Kluyveromyces lactis: one gene and its partner. The protein of the gene in region 2 interacts with the protein of the main gene of each other region in a biochemical or structural test. Links are inferred from orthologs where the notes say so. Each region holds a gene or a part of one and is shown on either strand. Other genes may lie near its edges.

Region 1 (11,243 bases), on a different chromosome or scaffold from region 2:
ACTTTTCTCTGATAGTATCTATTAATTCGTGAAGTGTTTTCAACGCAAATTCCGGTGAGCCATGATCTTGGTATAGGCTACTGAGAGTGAATGTTTGGCATATATGGGAAAAGTTGGTTGATGAAGACACAGAAACGTTGGAATTTCGGCAGTAGTCGAAATATTGATACATTTTGTCAATTGTTCCCTGGTAATTCTTCGACTTTCGTAGCAATACAATTTCAAGAAGTAGAATATCTGGAAAGCGGGTTCGATCATTCAAATTTGTGTATCTAATAATGGTTTCAGCAAGTTCTGAGCCTAAATTTATGTCTTTCATAGAAATTTGGAGGGCATAGTTCAATATAACCTTAAATTTGTCTGCTGATACTATTAACCATGGCAATGAATTGCCTATACCTTGATTGGTTATAAAAGGTGATTCTGGAAAACAATCATTCGTATGAGTATGTGAGAATATCCTGCTCGTCAAATTTGATGAATTGTTGATATCCTCTCTGTAAATGTTTGATATATCACAGGATAAAAACCTAGTTTTGAATGCCTGAAAAGATTCGACTATTTGATGAATATCTTCAACGAAGAATTCGCTGATATTGGAGTCTATTATAACACGCGGTAGAAGTTCGCAAATCACACTTGAACGACATAAAATTCTCCTGAATTTCGAAAGGACTCCTTGTTGATCTGGAGAAACTATTATTGCATCTCTTAAATGATGAATCAATTCTTGAATGTGGTTAAAACTGGAGATAGAAAATATGAGATTGATCAACTTAAAGGAAGCCTTAGTTTGACTATCCTCGTTCTTTCGGAGATATAAAACTAGATTCTCTAATGTTGGAAGCCCAACGCTATCCAGTTCATCATTTGGAACTATTTGTAATATTCGTGTGATGTTATGGAGGGACAAGTTTATTTCCCCTAGGCAATATAATACGAGTAACGCCACACAGCTGAGATCATACGGATCATAGCCAGTTACTACCCTAATTTTTTGGAATTCGACGGTCATAATGAACCTCAGCAGCAATCTTAATGCTTCTATATATTAGTTTCCTTTTCGGTGTATCTTATTCGCATTTGTGTATATCCTATCATTAAATAAAGTATCCGATTTTGTTGACATTTTTCATAAATATGTAAACAATGACTATGAAAGAATTATAAGTAAGAATCATTCCAAGTATCTGTACTCGGTGAGAATCATAGCTCTATCTGGTATTCTACTCGGTACTGGAAGTAATACCCTGAGTTTTTTCTTTGAATCATTCACTTCTGTGATCAAACCGTACCCGATTATCGATGCAGTGTTAAGTTTATCTTGGCTTTCTTTTCTAGATATATTAGTGATAGCGATAATAGCGTGCTGTAAGTTTGAGCTGTTGACTTCAATTTTGTCAAATACTGTTAGATCAACATCCTTTTTATCCTCTCCATATTCAGAGATATTTCTTGGCCTGAAAACTGTTAATTCTTCAAACCCAGCACCCATAGTGTATGGACTTAGGACTGTTTCTGTGGTACCATAAAAGTACTCTCTTATTTGAACCCTCTGTAAAGCTCTTCTCATGATATCATCAATTGCGATAATTGAACCTGGTGGCGGAATTCTTACAATTGATCCTATTTTAGTCCTGAATACTTCACTCAATTCGATAGCTAAGTCATCACTTTCTGCACATACCACTATTGCGTTAATATCGAATTGTTCTATCATGTGGCCAACTTCGGACCAATCTTCGGTGTCAAGATGTGAAAGTTTAGGGGTATCAATTATTACGCCAGACCTTCTTACTATTGGATCGTTCTTTAATCTCTGTTGCACGCCCGATGCTAGTTGTGTAATCGTCGATAAATATAGTGGTCTATTATCTCTGATATTTTCCAAGCCGTAATTTTTAACAAGAGGTTGCTTGTTATGGAGCTTGGTAGCACCTGTAGTAATACTCTGACCCCATATAGAACTTTCAACATCTAGCAACTCAGAAATGGGTGTCGCTGTAATTGAACCTGGCAAAGAAAAAACACCATCTTGTGGGTTCAAGTTCACTAACAACGGTTGATAATGTCTAATCTTCAACGCGTATGAGCATAGCATTTGAGCTAGCGATGATTTTCCAGTTGAGGCGTTACCTACTATTAGTACTCTAGGTCCATTGAAACTAGAGAGTCGTAATCTTTCTAATGCAAAATTTAGATTGTATATGTAGGCATGATATGACTTATTTTCCGAAACTTTTGGCTCAAGCTCTTCTAAACACTTCCATTCGATCATAGATCGTTCAATAGCATAGATGTTCACTATTACACCTTGGAATGTGTAGGGCACATCGTTGGCAAGCTCTGTTCCCAGTATCTCAGCGATCCCATACTTCACAATAACTGTTAGCTTTGATCCTGCTGGAACTTGAACGGTCCATTCATGGCCCTGCGGAAGAGACGATGTCTTAGTGGTCTCAGAAACCTCGCTGAATTCTACAAACTCCATTTCCTTTTTTCTAGCTTCTCCTGCGAGTGGTAATGGTCGGGCTATCAGCTCATCTACCTTTTGTTCTATGTTAATTAAACCTTTTCTAACACTTAAACACTTTAATTTTGATCAATATATCATTACAGATTTTTCCTAGCATACATACTGAAAATATAGTATAAACCAATTGTGGGCAATTATTGATTTGCGCAGGGTTCTTTTCAAGTGTCAGGGATGCAGAGCTACTGTTCTTTCAGGTAGTACTGCATGTTTCACATCTTCCCTACATTCAGTGTATGGGAAATCACTCATTCTATCGAAGTATTTCTCTTAACTTCCTTTAGCCACTTCTCCATCTTTCATCACCCATTCGGTCCAAGACCCGTCGTAGAGTCTGACATTCTTGACACCTGAAATCTCTAATGCAGTCTTGATTATGACACCTGTGACACCAGTACCACACATTGCAATGGTTGGTTTATCGGTTTCAAACTCATTGCCGGTTTGCGAGACGAAGTCTTGTATTTTCTTTAGCATTTCCTCACGATCTGAAGTAAAAGTTTTATCACTGTTCAAGACCTCTAGGAAGGGCAATGGCTGAACGCCAGGAATGTGACCAGAGCTGAGGCCCGGTCTAGGTTCTGGCGCCTCACCAGTAAATCTTTGAAGACTTCTAGCGTCCAAAACCTGGTAGTTCTTAATATCACCTGTCGACACCAATTTCTGCATATCTTCAAAGGAAACTGTTTCTTTCTCTGCCAAATCAACATCGGACACGTATTCACTCATTTCATATGGAGTAAAACTTGTCACTTTAGAAGTCTCAACGGGGTACCCAGACAGTTTCAGGGCAGGGAAATTGTTCAAGAGATATACGGGATCATGTCCCAAAACAGCTAATGTCCATGCACATCTAGGTGCGCTAAAGTTACCAATTCTATCATAAACCACTAAAATATCATCCTTCTTCAGTCCCAATTCACTCATGGATTTATTGAAAGTACTGAGATCTGGTAACATATGAGGATATTCAGATTTCATGTCTTTGACACCATCAATATCAAAATAAACAGCTCCTTTTAGACGTTCTTCATCTAAAAATTCTTGCTTCCCACTTCTGTTCAAGTTTGGTAAATACCAGGTGGAATCTACTGGGATAATACGGCGCTTAGTTTCCTTGGATAATAATTCTGCGAATGCTTTAGGTGTTAATAATTTGTAAAGTGTCATGATGTTTTAAAAACAATTCAATGATCTGGGAAACGCAATTGGGTAGAGCAATAACAATCAAATTTAGCAAGCCAAATAATGCGACTACAACGTGCAAAATTCTGATTTCCTTCTACGTCGTAACTGTGAGTTCCTTCCCCTTTCCTATCCTTACTTTTGCTGTGGTCAAAGATCTAATTTTGACACGATAGTGGAAAGACTACCACGCGAACTGATGTTTACAGTTCACGTGACTCTTAAAATCTACTGATCTAGTTGAAGATATAATTTCAAAAGGAATTTGGAGCGTTGATTTCAGGCGATGAGATGCAATGAGATGGGCTGCTTGGCAAAATATGATGTTAACTGGTCAGAGGTATCTACACTTAAAATCCTCTGAATTATATATTACGAACTAGAATTCATGGATATATGCCAATTGTGAGGGAGTTAGATATAATACAGGACACGGATGAATGCGGAAGTATATATTAATGACAAAATTGAAGTAAAACGTACAGCATATGGCGGCCGGGCATGTTTTGCTTCAAATAGCATGTTAAAAGGCACCCATCTGTTAGATTTGTCCCAGTGGATCGGATCTAGTATTTCTCACGAGTTCCGTAAGGAAGTGTGCCATTTTTGCCTGAAATATGACGGTGGTAAACCAATGAAAGTTAGGATCAGCTGGGCAGACCTACTGAAATTAGATTTGAACTTGTTAAACCATAAACTAGAGAAGAAGTACAAAGGTAGCGGGCTTTGGTTTTGTACTGAAGAGTGTAAAAACTTCTTCCTAAGTGGACCGAATATTGTTGATCTTATTTTGAATTATGAAATGATATTAACGCATTTCCAATCGATACAGGGTAAAAGCCTGTGCGTGGAAACAGATACGGAATTGTATAAAGACTACGATAATAAGCGGATGCATCAGGAAATTGAGAGTTGTTGGATGGACTTAGAAAGTACTTGGATGCCTAGAGTTTCCAAAATGAAACTTGCCAAGGCCACCAACCAACTTCCAGTGATAGATGAGGATCATTATTCCTGTATCAGGTTTGTGATAGAATGTTTATTTAACATGACACATTTGGATCGAAATAGTGTGAAGTGGAATACGTGGGAAAAACTTCAGTCAAATGAAGTGGAGAAAATAATGAGATTCCCTGTTCTACTGGAGTTTCAGATCAAAGTTTTCAAATGGGTTTATACTCTAGCTCCCCAGTATAGGTATATCATGACAACATCAGTTTTTAGACATATCCTTGGTTCTGAATATGGAAACTCATTTGGCATTTGGGAGACTTCAGAGTCGGACGATGATAGGGAATATCTGGGTTATATGGTTCATCCGGAGGCCTCATATTTTAACCATTCCTGTGTGCCTAACGTGGAGAAAAAGAGGGTCGAAAGAGTCTTTCAATACATTCTACAAACTGATGTGCAGAAGGGAGAAGAGCTCTGTATTGATTACAAGGGTATATTACACCTTGACGTCAACCGGAGAAGGGCAATATTGAAGGATAATTGGTTTTTTGAATGCAAATGTAGTAGATGCCTCTCAGAGTTGTAAACAATCCATCAATGCGTCCTCAAGTGCTGACTTGCTCACACTTAAATTCGAAAGTTCACTACTAGACTCTTGATTATTGGCTAAGTTGTCCGTCTTATCCAATTTATGATTCATTATTCTTGATGCCTGTAAATTTTGGAGAATGTTGTTGTCAACGGAATTTCGTGACTCTGATGAGGACCGGGTATTAGATGTAACGTCTATTTGGTTCGATAAAACTTTTAGTTGATTTTGAAATAAAGTATAACTCCGTTTTTTGAGAAAGGGTTCTGGTGCACCTAAATCAGCCCCCAATTCCTGCCAATCCATATCCTCTAACGAGTCAATTTTTGAGATTTTGGTCCATAGAATCTTATCTCGACGAGAATCCCAAATAAATGGTTTTGTTTCGACAAAATTTTCAGGTCGTTTACCTGCCACTCTTACGTACACTTTTGTGTTGTCATTATTCATTGTAAATACACCTCACACTGTGGATTTTATAGAATCACCAAATTTCTTCCTATACCACAGAATCTAGATTAGAACAATTTAAAGTAACATTTGCTATTAAATTCGATTAGGAACTTGCGGTGAATGTTGTTCAACTAGATCTCACTTTCATCTCGGACAACTCCAGTATACGAGAATCACTTTAGCTAAAATATGATTATTCATTACGTATCAGAATGATCACAATATCCGGGTAATCATGAATACTAATATACCCAACTATAATCAAGTTTAGCCCAACTTTGCAGGATTGCTCATCGCTATTTCTCATCTGAAGTTTGGTCACAGTATATCACCCATTAATCAAGGATATTACTTTTATACCATTCACATCGTTTACATCAGAAGATATAACTGTGCTACATTAAGGTGACTGTAATCTGATATGATGATTACTTGCAGATGAGTGATATTTTTGGTTCTTTAGACTCCAGCTTAGACTCCAATGAAATCAACATACAGATTAATAATTCAGACAGCTATCAATGCTTCCCAACTCTATTGGATTGTAAAACTAGTAAGAGCCTTCCTGGACTTCGATTTGTTCAGGTGCCAGTACTAAGGTTCTATGGATGTTTATCTACCGGACACAAAGTTCTAATTCATTGCCATGGCATTTTCCCTTACATATTCATCAAATATGACGGACATTCGAATGATAAAGCATCAGTAATACGGAATAGATGTACCAGTTTGCACAAAATACTTGAGACACGGATGATTGAAACTTTTACCAAAACAGATTTTAAAGAGAAGCTAACTTCCCTGAAATACATTGCTAATGTGTCCGTTGTCAAAGGCGTTCCATTTTACGGATACCACGTAGGATATGAACCTTACTATAAAATTACTCTTTTGAATGGTTCATATAGTAATAAACTCTCTGAATTACTTAGAGATGGCAGAATATTCACCTCAAAAGTGGATGTCTTTGAGGCTCATATACCTTATTTATTGCAAATGATGGCTGACTATAACTTATTTGGTTGCGGATGGTTAAAACTATCCAAATGCTATTTTCGGCAACCTGTTCTGTTAACTGATCTAGATATGAATGAAATATTGCACACGGACTCTTTGGAACGTTTTTTGAAAAAACACTTGCATCCGAATCAAAATGTTTTAGACATAGATCCATTTCATCGAATTGGAAAGACCTTTCTTGAAATGGATATTATTCCACAGTTCATTTTAAACAGAGAAGAAATTCAATTCAGGGATTTACACCATGATTTTGTTGAGCTTAAGAAAGACCTTCAAACATCAGATCAAGGATATGTTAATTCTACAAAAGATATATGGAAAGAGATACAACTGCTTAGGAAAAGGAAAGGGCTTGCTGAATATGAAGGATTAAAAGAAATATTTCGAGAATCTCAATTACAATATAATTGGAAAGAAGATGAAAGGTTGGTGAAACACTTTGATGAAGCTAAGAAACGAATGTCTTCCCTTTTTAACAAAGAAAAAGCTTTAAATTTTGACAACTTTGTGGATCCTTTCATTAATGAGAATTTTTTTGCAAGTACCAAAGACGCCCTTCAAGAATTATGGCCCAAAATACCAAGGAATGCTAGTAGTAAAGTATTCTGTTGGTCAGAAGTAGAATTCAAATTGAACAACCAATATACTTCTGTTCGTGAACAAAAAGTAGCGTCTACAAACACTAAAAATATTCCCATTTTGCTAAATATTTCCTCCAATGAATCGCACTCTTCACATGTCAGTTCCAAACGTGCGGAGGAATCTTCATGTCATGACGATATTGCTAATGAAGCAATTGCTAGGAAACTGGCAAAACGAAAAACATCTGCTATTAGAAAGTCAACATTTCGCCCGATGATCAGACCTAGCGTAACACACGCTAACATCAAGGAGAGTTTATCTGCTAACCAAATTGAAGAAGTTCAGTATAACGATCCATTTTTCTCCAATCCACTTGATTGTAAAAGGCTACAAACGGAAATGGCTGGTCGAGTGTTCAAGCTATCAAGTGATCATATCCTCTTTAAAAGAAGCATCCGTAGTAACGATACAACAGCAACATTAACTTCTTCAGGAAGTGTATATGCAAGAAGCAGATGGAAATATATAAGACCAAAGCCGTCTTTTAAAAGAATAGCCAATGCGATGAAGCCTTTCAAAGGTAAATTCTCGATGGTGGAGGGGAAAACACCAGAACTACCATTCGGATACAAGTTCAAGAGCAATAAAATAGAAAAAAATAATAACGCTTCTAATAGAATGACCCATTTCACCATGGAAATTCACGTCAATACTCGTGAAGATAAGTTTCCAGATCCTAAATATGATGCTGTCAGGATGATATTTTGGAAAGTGCAAGATGGAACTTTTCCATTCGACCTGGATATTACTCAAGAAGGTGTTTTGATATTTCTAGACGATGTCTCGACAGAAAATTCATGGAAAACTGCCGATCCTAGTGTTCATATAACTGCTTATTACGATGAATTGGAAATGATATATGCATTAGAAGATTTAGTGAGGTTTTTCGATCCTGATATCTTGTCAGGATACGAAATACACTCTTCCTCGTGGGGCTACTTGATTGATAGATGTCACAAGGGACATGATTATGATGTGGAAGATGAACTCTCTCGAGTCGATTATAACCAGAGTAGCAAAAAAAAAGACAGATGGGGTTACACTCACGCAACAGCATTTTCGATAACGGGAAGACAAATGCTAAACATATGGAGGCCTCTCCGCTCTTCTTTGAATCTTCTCGATTATACATTAGAAAATATTGCATTTCATGTTTTACACCAACGGTTACCTTTTTATTCGTACAAAACCAGGACAGAGTTCTATGAATCTATGGACGAAACTTCAAAAAGGTGTCTCCTATTTTACTGGATCACAAGACTTCGAGTAAATTTCAAGCTTTTAGAGACTCAGAATATAATTGGAAAAACCATCGAGCAAGCAAGACTTATCGGGATTGACTTTTATTCTGTCCTTTACCGTGGCTCACAATACAAGGTTGAATCCTTTTTAATTAGACTTTGCAAATCAGAACAATTCATTCTGATTTCTCCAAGCCGAATGCAGGTCCGTAACCAAAAAGCACTCGAATGTATACCACTTGTGATGGAACCTTCATCTGCCTTTTACAAGAGTCCTTTATTAGTTTTAGACTTTCAATCATTATACCCATCCATTGTTATGGCATATAATTATTGTTACAGCACTATTATCGGAAGAGTTGAATCATTAAATACTAAAAATAATGAAATAGGTATCACAAGGTATGATATCCCTGAAGATTTACTAACTTTAATATCTGATTATATCACCATCTCACCAAATGGTATCGTCTTTGTCAAAAAAGAACTGAGAAAGTCAGTTTTGGCTAAGATGTTAAAGGACATTCTTGATACGAGATTTCTAATGAAAAGTACTATGAAGGAACTTAATGATGAACATAACCTTATTAATATGTTGGATAATAGGCAGGAAGCCTTAAAATTACTTGCTAATGTCACGTACGGATACACATCTGCTTCATTCTCTGGGCGTATGCCATGTTCCGACATTGCAGATAGTATAGTTCAGACTGGCAGGGAAACATTAGAGAGGGCGATCGAGGTTATAGAAACTACTAAAGAATGGGGGGCTAAAGTAGTTTATGGAGATACAGATAGTTTATTTGTTTACCTTCCAGGGAAATCGAAAGATGAAGCATTTGTAATCGGAAGGCAGATCGCTGAAGAAATAACAAGACAGAATCCGAAACCCATAGAGTTGAAGTTTGAGAAAGTGTATCATCCGTGCTTTTTAGTAACCAAGAAACGTTATGTAGGCTTTTCCTATGAGTCTGAATATCAAAAAGAACCAAAATTCGATGCAAAGGGTATAGAAACTGTTCGAAGGGATGGAACACCAGCACAACAAAAAATCGTGGAAAAGGCACTTAGAATTATGTTTGAAACCACTGATTTATCCATGGTAAAAGAATACTTAATTGGAGAATTTGACAAAATTATCACCGGCAGAGTTAATATTCAAGATTTCTGTTTCGCTAGAGAAGTTAAGCTAGGCCATTATAAAAGTGAAAAGACTGCTCCCCCTGGTGCCCAAATTGCCATGCAAATGATGGAAGAAGATGCACGTACAGAACCCCAATACAAGCAGAGAGTACCGTATGTCGTGAAAATGGGAAAAATAGGTGAAACTTTGAGCTCTAGATGCCTCTCACCGGAGGCTTTCTTAAGGTCTAAAACGTCTAGGTTGGATTATACATACTACATTGTCAAAAACATTATACCTCCTCTTCAGCGGTTTTTCCAGTTAGTAGGAGTTGATATCATGGATTGGTATATATCGATGAAACATACTCTTAATCCTCTAAAAGTAGACTCTGATGACGGCAGCCATGAAGGAAGGTCTTTGACTTCAATCGTCAAAGGCAAATCTTGTCTGCGCTGTCGCAAGAAAGTTCACCCAAAATTCATTAGTCCTATATGTGGTGAATGCAGGATCGATAAAAGCAACACCACCCTTTTTTTGGAAGAGTCAGTCAGACTAAAACAGTCTAAGATGCATTCTGTTATGAGGACCTGTCAAACCTGTTCATACAAGTTTCATAAAGATGCTATGGCACCTTTGGACCAAATTGCACTCAAGTGCCAATCTAAAGACTGTCCGGTATACTTCAGTAAATTCAAATACATGAACGGTCTCAAGGATAATGATATGAGAGATCTCTTGATGGGACTGATAGATTTGGACTATTGAATTTCAAATCACGTGACTTTTAAATCAATAAAAACTTTTCTTTTTGCTCATCATGGATTTCGGCAAAAAAATTCAAAAGCGATGAGCAACTGAAATTATAGATCAGCGATGAGCTCCTTTATAAAATTGAATGTTAAAAGCTAGTGAGCACATCAACTCAGGCAAGATTGGTAGTAAGAAAGAGACGGGGTATAATATCATTATCTTAGCAAATTAAAATCGCTTTAAATGCCTGTCACAAAATCGTTGGGTAAAATCCAGAAAGGATTAAAGGGTAAGAAATTTACTGTTCACCCAAAAGGGCGCAAATTCCAGCAGCTAAACAGAGCTACCCTTCGCGAAGAGAAAGTTCAGGCAAAAAAGAGAGCTCACAACGAAAAAAGATCCAACGAGTTAGCGCGTATGACTTTTGTACAGTCAGCCATTAAAACTGATTCTTTGAAGGAAAAAGAAGTATTCGATTATAAGGAAACTGCAGTACTAATTCAAGAGTTTATTGCCCGCGATGATAATGAATTAAATGAACTAAAATCTAAGAGAAGACAGAATAGACCTCCCACTGGTAGGCAACAGCTTTTGCAACATAAAAGAGATTTGGAAATGGAAGAATTCAAGTCAGGTTTTTTGTGCCCAGATCTGACAGACCCTGAAAATGTGATCTTTTTAAGAGCTTGGAATCAAACTTTTGGAGGTTTGAGTACTTTAAAACTGATAAGAATCAATGATAAAGGCGAA
Region 2 (12,770 bases):
ACAAACCACGTGACACTAAGGAAGTCACGTGGTGTACGGATTAATTCCCGCTATCATCTCCAGTATTGCTGACATGATCATTGGGTATATAGGAGGGAAGACGCACGCTACAAATCCAAAGCCAATGCCAAAACCAGTCCCTGACTCATGGCCGGCTCAGGCCCTGCCTTCGCGTCCTACCAAACACCCAATTCATATCACCGATTAACCACCACTACTGGAAAAGTACGAAGCTTTCGCTGTCTATCCTGAATCCCGAGTTGATCCGGTTTTTTTCTCGTCTCACAAAGCCTAACCGTCGCATTGGTAACGAAGTTCCCCACGACAAATTAGCAAAAGCGCCCCAAAACAGAGCCCAAAACGGCGACTTACTAGCAAATAAACAAATTTCGGGCAGTTTACTACCCCCAAAATTATTGCATCAATCGTGGCTCTGAAATATTACAAACCCGCTACTTCCATGTTCGGTAACCTTCTCATTGCAACTACAAAAGTACTGCGATTGCCATTGCCCTAAGTAAGTTATATGAATGACTCTTCTATCATTTCTATTATAGCTATTCGCTTTATTTTTCTATCACTGCTTTGAGAAGGATATTTTGGCTTTTAACTGTGATTAGTGATGAGGTTAAGTCTATTATATATATATGCATGTATATTTGCGTCTCTGCGCTATAAAGTTTCTGTATCCTTATAACTTTAGGTCAGGTTAAGGTTGGTATATTCGACGGTTGTTGTATACTGAGCTAAATTGAATTAGGACAGGACAGGACACTATGAAGGCCGCAGTGATGAGTATTAATCGTCAGTTTTCCAGCTCTGCTGCAACTGGGTTGCGCAAGATTAAAGTTCAGACTCCCGTTGTGGAGTTGGACGGTGATGAGATGACTAGAATTATCTGGGATAAGATTAAGAGTAAACTTATCTTACCATATTTGGATGTGGATTTGAAGTATTACGATCTTTCCGTGACGAACCGTGATGCCACTAACGATCAAGTTACTGTGGATTCTGCTAATGCCATCAAGAAATACGGTGTTGGTGTGAAATGTGCCACTATTACACCGGACGAGGGTCGTGTTAAAGAGTTCAATTTGAAAAAGATGTGGAAATCACCAAATGGTACCATCAGAAACATCCTTGGTGGTACTGTTTTCCGTGAACCAATTGTCATTCCTAGAATCCCAAGATTAGTGCCTGGATGGGAAAAACCTATTGTCATCGGTAGACATGCCCATGGTGATCAATATAAGGCCACCGATCTTGTCGTTCCAGGTCCTGGTAAGTTGGAATTGGTTTACAAGCCAACTGATGGATCCGAGACCAAGACTTTGGAAGTTTACGACTACAAGGGTCCTGGTATCGCTTTGGCCATGTACAACACAGACGAATCCATCCGTGGATTCGCTCATGCCTCTTTCAAATTGGCTATCACCAAGAAATTGAACCTTTATCTTTCCACCAAGAACACTATCTTGAAGAAATACGATGGTAGATTCAAGGATATCTTCCAGGAAATTTACGATTCCGAGTATAAATCCGAATTTGAAAAGTTGGGTATCTGGTACGAACACCGTTTAATTGACGATATGGTTGCCCAAATGATCAAATCTAAGGGTGGATTCATCCTTGCGTTTAAGAACTATGATGGTGATGTCCAATCCGATATCGTTGCTCAAGGGTTCGGGTCCCTTGGTTTGATGACCTCTGTTCTAGTGACCCCAGACGGTAAGGCCTTCGAAAGTGAAGCTGCTCACGGTACCGTCACTAGACACTACAGACAATACCAACAGGGTAAAGAAACCTCAACAAACTCCATCGCTTCCATCTTCGCTTGGACTAGAGGTTTGGCCAAGAGAGGTGAACTAGACAACACTCCAGAAGTCGTCGAATTTGCCAACTTGTTGGAAAAATCCACTTTGAACACTGTCCAAGAAGACGGTATCATGACCAAAGATTTGGCCCTTGCCTGTGGTAACACTGACAGATCAAGTTATGTGAACACCGACGAATTCTTGGATGCTGTTGAAAAGAGATTCAGAAATGACGTTAAATCTCTGCAGTGAAAATGCTTTCAAGAACAGGAGAGTACGTCGATGAATAAGATTACACACATATATGGGCTCTTTTCTTAATAGTAATATTTCTATATAAAACATATAAACGCACAAATAACTACACTAATCCCTCTCTATCCCAAATACCTATTAGAAGTTTCCTTGCAGACTACGGTAGCATAATCCTAAATTGTCGTTCGTTCTATGAATAATAGCTTCTCTTGTCGCTGTCCTAGTAATTTCATTACCCTGCCTCTGTCACATGTACCAGGCTCACACACCTCATTTTTCACCCGATGTTGTCTGTCCTTCCTCAAGTCCAAAAATCGAAAGTGGACAACATGTTCAATATTTTAACAGTTACAAAAGAGAAACATATAAAGAAACATGCCTGACAATTCTTGTAGTTAATACTTGAAGTATTGTTTTTGTTTAGTTGTATTAGAGTACCCAGTCGAGCTTTGTTAGCAAATCACACGCTGTTATATTTTCTTTGGGGAAACAGGAACCTTTTGACTGCTATTATCTATAACTAATAAAGACCGGATATATTTATACCAATTGCTCAAGAAATAAACATAAGATTATACTATAAGAAATGTCTATTGAAAACTCTGTTGTTGTTCCAGCGTACCACGAAAAGCTAAATATCAAGCCATTGACCACCAGGTTATTCCAAGCCTTGGGTAAAGAAGGTTCCAATATCACTGAATTGATCTTCGTCGATGACAATTCCCAGGACGGTTCTGTGGAAGAAGTTGAGGCTTTGAAGAAGCAAGGTTACAACGTCAGAATCATCGTCAGAACCGACGAAAGAGGTCTTTCTTCCGCTGTCTTGAAGGGTTTCCATGAAGCCAAGGGTGAATATTTGGTTTGCATGGATGCGGACTTGCAACATCCACCAGAAAGTGTTCCACAATTGTTGGATTCTTTGAGAACACATCCATTCGTGTTGGGTACCAGATACGCTGCTGGTGTCGGTATCGACAAGGACTGGCCGTTGTACCGTAGAGTCATTTCTAGTGGTGCTAGAGCTATGGCTAAACCTTTGACTTCTGCCTCTGATCCGATGAGTGGGTTCTTCGGTTTGCAAAAGAAGTACTTGATTCACAAGGATGCCAAGAATATTAATCCAAAGGGTTTCAAGATTGCCTTGGATTTGTTGGTTAAGTTGCCAATTCCTCCACAAGAACCTATTGGCGAAGTTCCTTTCTTTTTCGGTGTCAGAACTGAAGGTGAATCTAAGTTGAGTGGGAAGGTCATCATACAGTATTTGCACCAATTGAGAGAGTTATACACCTATAAATATGGTGGCAACAACCTACTGCTGTTCTTCCTATTCTGGACTATCCTAGCACTGTACATTCTGTACCAGGCTTACCACTTGGTATTCTAGTTCTTGAGATACTGAACAAGAACGAACTTTTCTTTATCATAGCAAACAATAATAAACTCTTAATAACTAAATATCCATAAAACCGTATTTCACAAGTGTTCCTAGAATATTGTTCAATGCCCAATCAACTAAAAGGTGGTTTAGCTCTAGTTTACTTTCCTTAATATCTGGGGAATAATACCACCTGACTCAAGGATGATCTTCGAGAAACATTCTCGTTCTCGTTACCCTGATGATGCATAGAAACTTTAAAGGGACGCCCATGCACAAATGATCAAAGAAGTGTAATTTAAAGGATACTAACCAATAGCAATTAATGAGGGGGGGTATGTCGAACGACAAGCAGAAGACTCAATAATCAACTCACAAGTGTTAGTTTATGGGTAAAGTACTTATAAGTTCTTTGAATCTAGGCTATCTGATTATCCGTGTGTTTGCGTTTATTCGGCTTTTAAACAAACATTGTGAGAGTGCAAAGGTTGAAGGGTAACGTGGCACTGATATGAGAGCTGTACTCTTAAGATTGAATGATAATGGTGAGCCACAAGTCAGTTGTTCTTACAACCATGGTGTGCTAACCATGCCATCGCTTCCTATTCTACCGAATAAAGCTCCAGAAGATCCATTGTACACTGTTCGTTTGGTTGTGGCAGCAGGCTGCCCCGTTGCTCGAGATGGTTTAATTTGGACTAATTGTCCCGAAAGCCATGACATCGAATTTGATAGGAACAAATTCCATAAGAAATATATCAAGGCAAGCTTCCATAAAGATGATTTTATTGATTTGAAAGTATTTAATCCGGGGTCTTATTGTTTTTACCTCTCTTATCGTAATGAACAGGACCAGTTGGAAACAACTAGGAAGTTTTATTTTGTGGTACCACCAGTCCTTTACTTGAACGATAAATTTGTTCCCTTAAATTCAATTGCCTTACAGAGTGTAGTTTCGAAATGGATGGGGAAAGATTGGGACCCAATATTTCGCAAAATCGATAACAAGGGATATAACATGATCCACTTTACACCTCTTCAACAAAGAGGAGAGTCCGATTCTCCTTATTCTATCTATGACCAATTGACCTACGACTCCAACTTTTTTAACACCGTAGAGGATGTGAAGCAAATGGTCCAAAAGTTGCATAAAACTCACAACATTCTCGCATTAACAGATGTGGTTTACAATCATACTGCTAACAACTCTCCATGGTTGTTAGAGCATCCAGAATCTGGTTACAATCACATTACTGCACCACATTTACTCCCTGCTATTGAATTAGATAAAAGTCTACTTGAATTCAGTGGTTACATGAAGGCACTTGGATATCCAACGGATATTTCATCTGTAGAAGATCTTATCTCTATTATGGATGGTATCAAAATTCATGTTTTAGGCTCTTTGAAATTATGGGAATTCTATGCAGTAAACATCGATGCTTTATTGAAAGAAGTTGCAGATCAGTGGGATTCGACTCCATTGGAAGCTATAACAGTTCCTGGTGATGTTGAAGATGACTTGGTAAAATTGGCCGGTTTCATTCGTAGCTCTTGTACTAATGATGACTTTGGTTCTTTATCCACAAGATTTGCAAATACCTTGATAATATCCAAGTTTATCACAATTTTGAGACAACTTCATGGGGAAGAATGGAATGGCAATGTTGCAAATGAAGCACGCAAAATTTTGGATGAATTGAATTTACCCTTGTACAAGGAATACGATGAGGACGTTCGCGTAATCTTAGACCAATTATACAATCGCATAAAGTATTTGCGGATTGATGATCATGGTCCAAAGATGGGAAAAATCACTCCTGAATCGCCATTAACTGAGCCTTATTTCACCAGATTGCTTGCCAAAGATGGTAAGGAATATGCATTGGCTAACAATGGCTGGATTTGGAACTCTAATCCACTAGTAGATTTTGCATCAAAGGACTCCAAGGCATACCTACGTAGAGAAGTGATTGTCTGGGGGGACTGTGTGAAATTAAGGTACGGTTCCGCACCTGAGGATTCTCCGTATTTATGGGAGAGGATGTCAGAGTATACAAGACTTCAGGCAACCATTTTTGACGGGTTTAGAATCGATAATTGTCATTCTACCCCACTTCACGTGGGCGAGTACTTCTTGGACCTGGCAAGAAAATATAATCCAAATCTTTACGTAGTCGCTGAATTGTTTTCGGGATCAGAGCAAATGGATTGTATTTTTGTAGAGAAGCTTGCAATTTCATCTTTGATAAGAGAAGCCATGCAAGCTTGGTCAGAGCAAGAACTTTCAAGTTTGATTCATAGACATGGAGGAAGACCGACTGGTTCTTATAAATTCATGCCACTTGATGATTTCCCATATAGTCCCGAATTGGAACTCGATGAAGATTTTGTTGATTATAACAACCGTTTAGGCGATGAACTTAAAAGTCTCTCCGAAATTAAGATCCCAAGATTTTTATCTGCCGCTCCACCTCATGCTTTATTCATGGATTGTACTCATGATAACGAAACTCCTTATCAAAAAAGAACTGTAGAAGATACTCTACCAAATGCCGCTCTCGTTGGATTGAGTTCTTCCGCTGTCGGGTCTGTTTATGGTTATGATGAGATATATCCTCATTTATTAGATGTTGTCAAAGAGAAACGTCAATATTCAGTGGTTAAAGATGATGGTATATCCATTGTGAAAAAGAAATTTAATGCAATTCGAGCAACCATAGCAACGCAGAGTGATGATGCAGAAGATTCCGAAATGCATGTTCACCATGATGGTCAGTTTATCACGTACCACAGAACTCATGCTAGACTCGGTGATGGCTACTACTTAATTGCGAGAACAAAATTCAGTGAGAATGATTATGATCAAAGGTTACCTACCGTCACTCTATCGGGGTCCACTGCAGAACTTCTTTTCAGTTATTCCCTAGTTAAAGATGGCGGTCTGCCTAAAGATGATGACAAGATAATCAAAGGAATCCCCACAAAATTGGTGGAATTGGATGGATTTGTTATTCAATATAATGAAAGTTTAGGTGATACCACGATCAGCTTACCACACGACTTCCCTGCAGGTTCGATTGCTGTATTCAAAACAAAACAATGCGGAGTTACCGAAGACTTAGACGAATTTATTAGAACTGGTGCTTTAAAAGCCTCTGAAAAGTTGAGTTTACATTCATTGAATGCGGTTTTGTACAGATGCAGTGCAGAAGAGTCTGATGTCAGTGCTAACAGAGGAGGTATATATACGGTGCCAGATTATGGTCCACTAGTGTATTGTGGGCTCCAAGGATGGGTGTCTGTCTTAAGAAACATCATATTTAGTAATGATCTCGCTCATCCATTAAGCAAAAACTTGAGGCTAGGTCATTGGGCTCTGGATTACGTGGTAGACCGCCTTGACTATTATAGGGAAATGCCTGGGATTTCTGAAATCCAACAGTGGCTTAAAGCAAGAATGGATCGCGTCAAGAAAGTTCCATACTACTTGGTCCCGCGTTTCTTCGCATTAGTAATTGGTATTGCATATGAGGTTTGCAGATTTAGAGCTATTTACCAGATGTCTGAGAATATTGGTCTCTCAAACCTTTTTGTGCAACGCCTTGCAATGACCTCGGTGCAAATGGTTTCTGTGATGACTTCAACATCTTTATTACCTGATCAAAATGTTTCGTGCATGGCTGCTGGTTTACCACATTTCAGTACACACAATACATGAGATGCTGGGGTAGAGACGTATTCATTTCTTTGAGAGGGTTACTTTTGGCAACAGGACGTTTTGATGAAGCAAAGAACCATCTTCTTGCTTTTGCTAAAACATTAAAGCATGGTCTCATTCCAAACCTTTTGGACGCTGGTAGAAATCCTAGATACAATGCAAGAGACGCGGCATGGTTTTTCGTTCAGTCAGTTCAAGATTATGTTCAAACGGTTCCAAATGGAGAAAGCATCTTGAAGGAAAGGGTCTCAAGAAGATTCCCTAAAGATGACCGTTACATTCAATGGACTGACCCAGAGGCTTTCAGTTACGAATCTACTATTGAAGATATTCTCTATGAAATCGTTTCGAGACATGCCAAAGGAATCAAGTATAGAGAAGCAAATGCCGGCCCAAACCTTGATAGAGTTATGAAGGATGAGGGTTTCAACGTTGAGGTGAAAGTCGACTGGACAAATGGATTAATATTTGGTGGATCACAGTCAAACTGTGGTACCTGGATGGACAAAATGGGTGAAAGTGAGCTAGCTGGCTCAGTTGGTATTCCAGGGACACCAAGAGATGGTGCTGCTATTGAAATCAACGGGTTATTAAAAAGTTGCTTGAGATTCTTAAGTGAGTTACACGAGAAGGGACTCTTTAAATACGATCATGTCGAAAAGCCCAATGGAGAAAAGGTTTCGTTAAAAGAATGGAATGATCTAGTCTTAACAAACTTCGAGATGAAATTCTACGTTCCATCTTCTGAAGATGAAGATGATCGATATGATATCGATGCCAGTTTAGTGAACAGAAGAGGAATTTATAAGGATTTGTACAGATCAGGTAAACCATACGAAGATTATCAATTGAGACCAAATTTTGCCATTGCTATGACAGTGGCGCCAGAACTTTTCACCCCTGACTATGCATACAATGCGTTGAACATTGCAGATGAAGCCCTACGGGGCCCTGTTGGAATGAGGACGTTGGATCCAACGGACTATAACTATAGACCGTACTACAGAAATTCCGAAGATTCGACAGATTTCCACACCGCGAAAGGCAGAAACTACCACCAGGGCCCAGAATGGGTATGGTGCTATGGTTACTTTTTGCGTGCATACCATCACTTCCATTTCCTCTCAAACCCATTAGCTCAAAATCCTTCAAAGACCTTGCCATCGTCGTACCTCTACCAACAGCTATACAAGAGATTAGACGGACACCGTAAATGGATTAGAGAAAGTGAATGGGCGGGATTAACAGAATTAACAAACAAAGACGGGGATATTTGTCAGGATTCATCTCCTACTCAAGCATGGAGTACTGGGTGTCTCCTAGACTTTTTCTACGATTTATGGGACCGATATGAAGATTCGCCTTAATAATTTACTTTTCTCTGCCTAACCACTTACCCTTAAGATTATAAAACAGATAAAAACAATAAAAATCATAAGAAATATATATATGTATATATATGCAAGATCATAGCCAAACTCATACTCATCATACTTATATATTATGCATTTTAAATTTACAAATAACCGAAAACTGCCCCTCCGGTTCTGTTGTCTGGAAATCTTCCTCTTAACCACAAGGAACTGTGGTTCTTTCTCCACTGTCATCCCAAATCTAACGGTTTTCGTTTGTTGATAGTAAAACAAGCCAGAGAAATCCTAAAAAATAAAATAACAAAATAGATAATAAGGAATTTGGATATAAATAATAACTACGTAAATAAGGGAAACCCCTTGAAAGTTGGAACATTGTGAGTCATTAAGCACCAGTTATTTGCCAAAGCAAGTTTTCACATAGAGAGAAAGCTTTTACAGGACAAAACGGTGGAGAGAAAGCTTTTGTAAGTGGTAGGTTCAAATGAACAGAGCGGCTTGAATAAGACATTTTTACATTTGGTTTAATATTAGAGTGAAAGAGATTAGTTGTTCTTACTGCTTTAATAACACTGACCATAAAAAAGAACAGGCAAACTTCAGGATGTCAGAAGGTGAAGTTCAGGTGATAGAACTCATAAATAACTTCTTTCTTAAGTCTGCGCTTCTACTTGAGCAGTCCAAGGTAGCACATAACTTTGATACGGAGGAGGCGCTGAGGGATGGGAATCATTTGTTTAACATTGAAACTCGCGGCGACCCTCTGTTGGAGGCTCAGATCCAGCCCTGGATCACGTTTGATGGAGTGAAGACAATGCCGCCATTAGTAATAGAAACGTACTTGGATCTACGAGCTTTGCAACCCAACCATATGGTGTATCTTCATGACGCGGATGGTAATCCATGGATGGTTTGTAAAGGGGGCAAGAAAACTGAGATTGTACTGGAAAGATGGCTTGTAGAACTTGATAAGCAGACGATAGATGACTCCATCGATTCAAATGATCCTGAAAACTTGCATAAACAATTGGTATTGTTGTTCCGCTACTTGTACACGCTTACCCAACTCTTACCTGCCAACGACATCATTACCAAGCCACACAATTCACAACAGCCCGCACTTATAAATGTTCAAACTAGACTACTTGACGGTTCTAAGCCTATTCTCTCTAAGGGGAGGGTCGGTTTAAGTAAACCTATTATTGCATCATATTCCAACACAATGAATGAAACAAACATTGCTTCACATCTAGAACAACGAAAGATTACACCGATAAAAACTACATTTGGCTCGTTGCGTATCACGGTGTCTTATAGAAAAGATGTCGACTTTTATGTTATTGATTCAGATGATTTACAAAAACGATACATGACACCATCCTTATCTAATGAAACTACCACGGTACCTGATAGAAGGGCTTCATCCAATTGTAGCAGATCTATGTCAGTTTCCCCCAAGACAAATACCATCAATGCGACGCTTTTTCCCCTAGAAGGTTCATCGGCAAGAAGGCAATCCATCTCTTCTAAACTGCAACCTTTTAAAGTTGGATCAGTTGGGAGTGGCTCGTTTGTACAGAGTGGCAGTGCCCAGTCGACTACGAGTCTTGTTCCAAGTTTATCAAGGAATGTTTCGAGTTCATCAGTGGTTGCTGCGTTGAAAGTTCAACGTGGTAGTGCCGGGTCTACTATAGTAAATGGTGATGTACCACCAGAACTTTCTAGTGTTGGTAGCGGATCGAAATATTCTTCATCTTTTGGCAGGATCCGCCGTCATTCTAGTATTAGAAGATCAGAAAGTTTTGACAGGACCGCTAAACCAAGGAAATCCACTGAAAACCCACCGGAAGATTTGTTAGAGTTTGTGAAACTCTTGGAAGACAAGAAAGAGTTGAACATGAAACCTAATACAATATTGCCGCAACAAGATATCTCAAACTCATTGATGCGATTTCAGTCCATGAAAAGTAATAACGATGCTCTTAGCGATAACCTTTCGATGAGTATGTCCATCGACCAGCCTAATGTTAGGTTTGGCTCAAATTCACATTCTCCAATACCTTCATTTTCACCAAATTATGGTTCCATTCCCTCCAGGCTATCTCAAGGTAGTAGAAACAATAGTAATGCGGAATTGATTACCAGCAGGAAAAGCTCATTGGATAGACACAAGCATAATCTATTGAGCAGAACTGGAAGCAACGTTGACATAAACAGGAGAGGTTCTGTAGGAACTATGGAAACGACTAATGAAGATTCTAAAGAGGACGAACAGTCTCACATGAAAGGAATGCACTTCAGCAATGAAGCAACCATAAATAAAGATGACGATGAGGATGAAATGTTAATGAAACGTTCATTTAACGCTGGAACATCTACTACTGAGCAGGTTATGGGGTCGCCCAGATCTATAAGAAGTATTTCTGTAAGTTCTTACCCAAGAAACCAGCTTCCATTGAAACATCTCAACCTCTCTCACCCTACAACATCGGCTACCACTACCCATGCAAAATTTCATAAGAGTGAAATGAGCCCCGACCCACTGCACACAGAAGGAGCACAACCGCATACTAGCTCGCAACATCATAATAGCTCTCAAAAAAATGATGAAGATGATGATTTGTTATTTGTTATGAGTGATATGAATCTAACCAACTAATAATGACATCAATAATTAATATTAATACAATGGTTTCACGACCTCAAACCATTCTTTCAAAAATGCATTTTATAAATAATTTATACTTGAATATATATATGTGTATATATATAGATATAAACATCACATACAAACTTCACCTGAAATTTTTTAAATCTTCCTAGCGTGGTCATTCTTAGAGGATTTTTGGTTCTCGTCCTCAAGAATCTTCATCTTTAATTCATGAATCTTGTGCTTTTCAATATGAGTATCGAATTTTTCTTTTGATTTGAATGTTCTGTTACAATTGGTATATGGACATTTTCTTTTCTGACCCACTGTATTCAATAACAATGATTTGGTTGTCTTCCCTGACTCAATATACTTCTTTATCTTTATTTCTGCTTCAACTGATCCAAGCTCGTCAACTTTCCGTTTCTTTGAGAAAGAGGGGAAATCAAGTAACGTTTTTTTCCCTGAACTAAAACTGTCCTCCGTTTCTGATATCTTTATATCTGTATTCACTTTAATATTCGTATCTTCATCAGCGTCCGTCGGCAGTAATAGCAATTCTGGATCTACATCTTTGTGACTTTCTTCATAATGTTGTACTAGCTGAGTTTTCTTCGCAAATGATGTATCTGGACATGAAGAACATTTCCAATTCTTAGTGACCAAACTCTCGTCATGAATCATCATATGATTCCGTAAACCTGATTCAGCAACACAAGGTTTCCCACAAATAGGACATGGTAATTTCGGATGGCATTGTTTAATATGTTGTTGTAAAGAAGACCAAGTGGAAAATACGTCGGTACATGAAAGAAAGTCACATTGGTACATTCCGGTAGATTCTGGGTTGTGATGCTTATCTATGTGATTCTTCAATCGATAAGGCCTTTGGAACGTCTTGTTACAGTGAGGGCAGGTAAGTTTCTTTTCGTGAACGGACAAGATATGCGATCGGAGTTGTGGATGTTTGTAGAATGATTCGTTACATCCCTCATATGAACAGTGGAAGGACTTCGTATGTGTAATTTCATGTCTCTTTAACTGTTGTCTGGTTGTGACACCTTTCCCACATATAGAACATGTGAAAGGTTTATCATCTGTATGAGAGAACATGTGTCTATTCAGATGCGATTTTTTCGCAAATTCTTTGCCACAAGTGTCGCATTTAAACGGTTTGATTCCATGATGCACGGTGAGCTGATGCTCCGTGAGCAAACTCGGTCTTGTGAACGATTTGTTACACCCTTGATAATCGCAGAAATATACTTTAGAACGCTGTGACGATGAAACTGACACAGTGCTAGTCACACTGGCCATACTCATAACACTATCCATGGACTCTGATCTGGTTAGCGGCGGTGTAGGTACACAACATTGTTGATCATCATCGTTTTCACCAACAACATTCTGCCGTACCTCATTTTCCTTATTGTATGTCGGCGCGACCATCACAGATTCATCAGTAGCTACTACAACGTTGCCTAAATAGTCCATAACTCGGTTGGGTATTCCGTGTATCGGCGTGAATCTCCTTACCCAATCGCACCTCATCGCCTGGGTTTTTTCTATGAATTTCATTTGA

What was found.
Region 1: the proteins of ATG13 (region 2) and ATG29 form a complex in vitro, tested with the Saccharomyces cerevisiae proteins (2 studies listed by BioGRID). The link is inferred for Kluyveromyces lactis from reciprocal best matches to the Saccharomyces cerevisiae genes ATG13 and ATG29.

What each region holds. Positions count from the first base shown.
Region 1 is NC_006039.1:852,873-864,115, reverse strand, and holds ATG29 (Atg29p), read right to left. Parts: upstream 5,712-11,243; coding exon 5,247-5,711; downstream 1-5,246. Other genes in the region: APC5 (anaphase promoting complex subunit 5), read right to left, coding at 1-1,015; cleavage polyadenylation factor subunit CLP1, read right to left, coding at 1,178-2,491; TUM1 (thiosulfate sulfurtransferase), read right to left, coding at 2,804-3,703; SET6 (Set6p), read left to right, coding at 4,155-5,258; REV3 (DNA-directed DNA polymerase), read left to right, coding at 6,153-10,508; TMA16 (Tma16p), read left to right, coding at 10,737-11,243. UniProt on the Saccharomyces cerevisiae protein: Plays a role in autophagy. Functions at the preautophagosomal structure (PAS) in order to form normal autophagosomes under starvation conditions. Also plays a role in mitophagy and regulation of filamentous growth.
Region 2 is NC_006038.1:302,668-315,437, forward strand, and holds ATG13 (serine/threonine protein kinase regulatory subunit ATG13), read left to right. Parts: upstream 1-9,142; coding exon 9,143-11,197; downstream 11,198-12,770. Other genes in the region: isocitrate dehydrogenase (NADP(+)) IDP1, read left to right, coding at 777-2,066; DPM1 (dolichyl-phosphate beta-D-mannosyltransferase), read left to right, coding at 2,656-3,453; PZF1 (Pzf1p), read right to left, coding at 11,348-12,766. UniProt on the Saccharomyces cerevisiae protein: Activates the ATG1 kinase in a nutritional condition dependent manner through the TOR pathway, leading to autophagy. Required for autophosphorylation of ATG1 at 'Thr-226' and its dimerization. May also be involved in the regulation of autophagy through SNF1.